Linked DNA regions of Saccharomyces cerevisiae S288C. The gene in region 1 interacts genetically with each later gene. Each region holds a gene or a part of one and is shown on either strand. Other genes may lie near its edges.

Region 1 (3,600 bases):
AGGTATTCGAAAGGATGAAAGCTAAACAAGTTATTTGAAATATGCATACATACATATATATATATACTGTGTATATTCAAATGGTGGCCTTTAGCCCATACCGAATTGTTTTGCCATTTGTTGCATTTGTGGATCTTGCATCATTTTCATCATTTCGTTCATATCAGGCATTCCTCCGCCCATTCCTCCGCCCATTCCGCCACCAAACATGTTCATCATATTTTGCATTAGACCTGGATTTTGCTTCAGCTTTTGTTGTGCCTGCTGCATCATTTGTGGAGTCACTTTTGGCATACCAGGCATATTCGGCATACCAGGCATGTTTGGCATACCCGGCATGTTTGGCATGCCAGGCATCCTAGCATTGGCACCAGGGGCTCCTGGTTGTTGCTGGGTTGCGGTTTGTGCCATTCTTGCCATCATCTGCTGTTGCATCAATATCATTTCTACCTCGAACACAGAAGTACCTGAACCTTTAGCTACACGAACCATTCTTGTAGGCTCTTCAATGAACATTCTACCATCAGATTCTAGTTCTTCTTTAGTCATAGAATCCAAAACGTAAACCATTTTCTTCATCTTTTGAGAGGTTTCCTCCTCCCCTACTTGATTCATCATATTACTCATACCAGGAATCATCTGCGCTATATTTGATAATGGACCCATTTTCATTATTGTTTGCATCTGTTTCTTGAAATCTAGCAAGGTGAACTTACCCTTTTGGATGTTTTCCATTGTGGCTTTTGCATCTTCCTTGTTGGAAACGGTTTGTAATTGCTCAAAGAGACTCTCTATATCACCAATACCCAACAGTTTAGATATGAATGACTTAGGCGAGAACTTTTCCAAATCATGAATGTGCTCACCTGTACCAATAAAGATAATCGGAGTGTTTGTGGCTGCAACGGCCGAAATTGCCCCACCCCCTCTAGCGTGGCCGTCCATCTTGGTTAATATAATGGCACCAAAATCGGACGATTCTTTGAAAGCCTTGGATTGTTGCTCTGCAGCTTGACCAATGGAAGCATCTAAAACCATGATAGTTTGATTAGGCTTGATGACATTGGATATTTCAATCATTTCTTGGAACAACTCTTCTTCTTGATGATGCCTACCTGAAGTATCAACGATGATGATATCAAACTTCTCTTTCTTAAACTTGTTAATACCTTCTTCTGCAACTTTGGCAGGGTCAGTCTCCGTATATGACCCATAAAATGGAATTCTTGCTCTTATAGCGTTTTGTTTCAATTGGTCAAATGCACCAGCACGGAAAGTATCCGCACATACCAAACCCACTTTGAAACCTCTCTTCGAGTAGTAAACTGCTAACTTGGTACAGGAAGTAGTTTTACCTGAACCTTGCAGCCCAACAAACATGATGATGTTTGTCTTTCTCTTCTTGGGCACAAAGGCCTTCTCTTCACTACCTTCGCAGGTGACCAACTTACACAGTTCATCAAACACCGTTTTCTGAATAAGCTTCTTAGTTTGTGCGTTTGTTGTGGACTTCTCACTACGGTTCTCACTCAGCAGCTGTGACCTTATATTATTTCGTAACTTAGAAACCAGGGCAATATTCACATCCGATTCTAACAACGCAGTCACGATGCCCTTTAACATTACATCTACGGATGTAGTAAAGTCATCCTGTGTATTGGAAATCGCGTTATTCACAGCAGAATTAATCCGCTTCCCCAAATCAGCCAAAACCATCCTTTAGTTAGACTCGATGCTGTGTTTTCTTTCCCTTCTCTTCTGCATCCTTGCTGTTCAACCACTTTTCATTATCTTGTTTTACCACTATTTTTTTTCACTTTGTTGATGTCTTTATCGTTAGCGGTGATTTTTCGATATTGAGATGAACGAAAAGACCATCATACTATAACAATATGGGTAGTGACTGAAGTATAGGAGAGCCGCAATTGCCGGTCTACAGAACTCACAAGGCATTCGTGAACAATGAACAGTGTTTGGGATGATGCTAGAATAGAGGACAGAACGGTGGACAAACCAGTAGGCTCCTCTCACGCTCAGGAGAAACTCGCGCTGGTAAAATCAACTTTGTTTAAACTTGACCAAGAAGATAGACCAGAATGCGATTCCTGGGTACAACTAGTCAAATTGATCTGCGACGAAGACCGTGAAGAAGAATTTACTACATTCAAGGAGTTATTAAGGGAAGTCAAAAACGTTAATGATAAATCCGTCACAGGCGTTGCCTTGATTCATTATATCATTGTATTTGATCGTGCAGACTACATTGAGTTACTACATGATAATCCTTCTGGTGCAAAATTAGATTTGAATCTTGTCGACGACATTGTAGGTTACACACCTTTGATGTGGAGTTTCAGTCTGCAGAGAAGGAACTGTTGCTTGGAGCTGTTCAACGCATTCGACGAGATAAACTTCAACATGACGAATAAGGCTGGATTAACCGCTTGGGATATGGTTCCTCCATATTCACCACTTTCGGAATTTTTGGAACAAAACAATATGTTTCGATACCGTACCGAAGTAAAACATGAAATACCTCAAATTTCCCAACCGAAAGACACCTCTCTTCTAATGAGTAATGAAGACTCTACCACGAAAGAAACTTTTGATAATATTGACTTACAAGTCGCCGGTTTGACCCTGTCCCCTGGTGCAAATGACAACATGTTTCTGGATTCTGATGAAAAGAACATGAATCATTCTCAGGGAGCTGCAACCCTAATAGATCCCACATATACAGAAGACTACCACGGTACATTTGATTATGATAAACTATCTCCGGACCAATACTTGGAATTTTCCGACTTTGATATACCACAAATCCTGAATCTATTGATATCGCTACCACAAAAGGAACCTCACATGACCACCTATCCAGCTGGTTTAATATACCAATGTATTAGATATGCTGATCATAAGATAAAGTCCAAGCCACTAGTAGAATCGTTAATTAACTTATCTCTAACAAAAATTCTGACCAGTGTTTCATCCAACGGAGCTGCAGGATTGGTCTCCACAGAAGCTTCTTTGCAAGCAGGTGACATTGTATTGCAATCGTATTGGTTAAGTTGTTTATCTTTTCTCTATTACTACCTCTGTAGAGATGATTCATTTTTCAAGAGGCATCCAAGCGTGTTACAAGAGCTGATTAACACCATCCACTCTATTATCATAGAACTGACATCTTCCATTCATTGCAGGTTGATTTCTTTGATAGATTCAACTTTACTAGCATACACAACAATCCAGGACGTTAAACAAACTTTATACAAAAGAGACTGGAACTTTTTTAAAAAGAGAAAGCAGGCCAAGCTTTTATTGAAGGAAAAGAACAGAAAACAATTAAAGGAACAACAAAAGAAAGAACTTCATCGAAAAAGCCAGGGTCAAGAAAATCATGAAGAAGAGGAGGGTCAACAAGATGGGAATGATTCAGATGATAGGGCATCAACAAATGATGATAACAATTCTAGTGTTTCACTCTTTTATGATAAAGAAATTTTGAGACATTTATATCCTCCATCATTCGAAGAGCAGATGAAACCCTCTCCACTAAAGATTGTTCAAATATTTGGTGCCTTGTCTTACGTTCTTAATTTA
Region 2 (2,848 bases), on another chromosome or scaffold:
GTACTCAAACGTCCCGTTGTTAAACCCTCTATGGTGCGCATGAAAGTCCAGCTTCAAAACCAGGTACCGCACATACTCCCGAATCAGTTTGCTGTACGACGAACCGCCAGAATGTACCCTACCCAGAGATCTGATCCAGTCCCTATCCCGGATGGCCTCAGCTAGCGCTGACGGATGTCCCTCTTGTATGATCTTATGCAGTACAATAAGCATCTTGAACAGTTGCACTTCGTCATTGGCCAGAGGCAGCGTCTTAAGGGTTGTAAAAACAGCTTTGGAAGACTGATGGTCCCATGTGTACACTATGCATGCGCGTACGTGCTTTCTCTTAGGTGCGGTCTCCTCAACGGAACACGCCTTTTTAAGCGCTTTCTGCAGATCTGAATCTATTCTGGACATCCTGTTCTAGCTGCTAGTACTATCACTACTACTGCTATGGCTGTATTACTAATATTTCTATTGTTTCACTATTCTTTATATATATTTATATATGTATATTTTCCAGCAAAACACCCTTTTTGGCATTCTCCTATAGGACGTCAAACGGCGCGCGACCGCGTCATTTTATACGAGCAGCCGCTGCGTCGTCGTACAAAACGCACCGACCTACATTACAATAAAAAGTACCCGTAAAAGGATCATGTGTACATGGTTCCAGTCTTTTGGTTCGGTACTATAACTACTGTAAACGACCCTCTCACTGCAGTTTATGATATGTGATCGCGTTAAAAATGGGTATTATCACCAATAACGGGTCGGGTAACAGATTTTTTCGATGCGCCGGCAAAAAATTTTAGTTTTTTTTTTTTTCATCACAGGGATAAAAGCAAACTGCAAAAGGACAAAACAAGAGAAGAGCTACTTGTTGTTTTCGTTTCGTGCTGGGGGTTTTCTCCTTTCTATTCTTTTTCAAAAAAGACAAGGAATATATTAATATAGCTGAAGCAAATCGTATGTCCATTGAGAATCTGAAATCATTTGATCCTTTCGCCGACACAGGAGACGACGAAACCGCCACTTCAAACTATATTCATATTCGTATCCAACAGAGAAATGGTAGAAAAACTTTAACTACGGTGCAAGGTGTCCCAGAGGAATATGATTTAAAGAGAATTCTTAAGGTCCTAAAGAAGGACTTTGCATGTAATGGTAACATTGTCAAGGATCCAGAAATGGGGGAGATTATTCAGTTGCAGGGTGACCAAAGAGCAAAGGTTTGCGAATTTATGATCTCCCAACTGGGATTGCAAAAGAAGAACATTAAAATTCATGGGTTTTAAGTTCAAGGCTTACGCCGAGTCGCTTACTCGCTGCTCGCTTTCTTTCTTAGTGTTGTTATCCTATATAAAACGTAACTGTTTAGTTATTTAAGTCCAAGTGCATATTTACACTATAATATATAATATAACATCTCATCTTTTTTTATTTCTTTTTCTTCTTCTCCCGCCGCGGGCTTACATACAGAGATATAAGAACAAGTGGTACGTAGCATGCAGCTTCTCAAAAGAGATGAGCGTTCAGTTTTGAGTACAGGGAAGAAAGGCCAAATCGAGAGTACATTATCATGGGGTCGGGCGATTTGAATCTGTTGAAATCATGGAATCCCAAGCTTATGAAAAATAGAAAAAAAGTATGGGAGACCGAACAGGATCTAATTACCGAACAGCAGAAGCTTAACACGCGATTGAAAGAAATTGAAAAAGAACGAGAACTAAATGAACTGCTGAACGAATCGAGCAAGGATAAGCCGGAGACTCTCAAGAATGACTTGGCTTTGAAGAAGTCGGGCTTGGAATGGATGTATCAGGATGCAAAACTGAGTGACGAAAAGGAAGACTATTTATTAGGTAAGAAAAAACTAGATTCATCTATACTAAACCAACCTGCAACACCGCCTGTAAGGGCGGCCACTACTATTTCCGCTTCTGGTGCCGCAACATCCATAAGTTCGCAGAAGAAGAAGTCAAAATTGCTTAAAGATGATCCAATGAGTAAGTTTAAGGTAACTAAACAACAAAGAAGAACTCCAGACTCAACAAAAAAAAGAGCAATGTCGCAACGAGGGAAACCGTTGTCCAAGCCCGCTCCGGACCTAGACTACTAAACTTTCCTTTTCTTAGAGCTTGGTTCCTCGTCGGATAGTGGCAAGTCCACCTCACCGAGACTGCCATCGTCATCCTCGCTGTCGCCATCTGCGCTTAACCCGGATTCTCCTTCTTCGTCTTCCAAGTCCCTCTGGGCCTCAGCATAGTACTTCACACAAAAAGGGTAGATCTCTTCACTGAACAATGACGCCAATGAGTCGCCGTGCGGGAACTCCTTCCCGGGTTTTAGGCCGGTCCATCTGAACCAGCCAAATATGGTTTTCATTCCCTGTCTGTACTTTTTTTTACCCTCTGGACTGCGTTTGTCTTTGATCAAGTCCGGGTTTATCGAGTCGTAACTCTGGGGCCACTCAATTGGAACGGGCTCACTAGTCAGTATCCCGTCTTCTTGGTCATCTTTGCCTTTTTTGATTTGGAACACCTTGGTGACTTGCTGCTCTTTGAAGTCTCCCTCAATTCCATGGAAATGGAATGTTATACTAAAATCTCTAGTGTCGTACATTTCAGACTCCAATGCCAGCCATTCTACTTTGATCTTATCTATAGTGTCAATGTATTTAAAATCTGAAGCCCTTATGTAATTCGCAAAACTAACGTGTTGTGAAAGCACAATTTTCCAGAACTCTGCAATTTCGTCAATATACGCGTCCCTCTTTTCATAAACAGGCTTCATTTTGTTCAATCTGTATAATTCTACCTCACGTTCAATAGCGTCCACTTCTTCTTCGCATTTAGCCAATCCT

The links. A genetic interaction does not mean that the proteins touch.
Region 2: mutations in YPR089W (region 1) and CWC25 together harm fitness more than expected from each alone (negative genetic interaction), as found in Saccharomyces cerevisiae (2 studies listed by BioGRID).

What each region holds. Positions count from the first base shown.
Region 1 is NC_001148.4:711,313-714,912, forward strand, and holds the start of YPR089W (uncharacterized protein), read left to right. Parts: upstream 1-1,962; coding exon 1,963-3,600. Other genes in the region: RNA-binding signal recognition particle subunit SRP54, read right to left, coding at 91-1,716.
Region 2 is NC_001146.8:185,602-188,449, reverse strand, and holds CWC25 (U2-type spliceosomal complex subunit CWC25), read left to right. Parts: upstream 1-1,564; coding exon 1,565-2,104; downstream 2,105-2,848. Other genes in the region: SLA2 (Sla2p), read right to left, coding at 1-399; SUI1 (translation initiation factor eIF1), read left to right, coding at 954-1,280; VPS75 (Vps75p), read right to left, coding at 2,101-2,848. UniProt on the Saccharomyces cerevisiae protein: Involved in pre-mRNA splicing.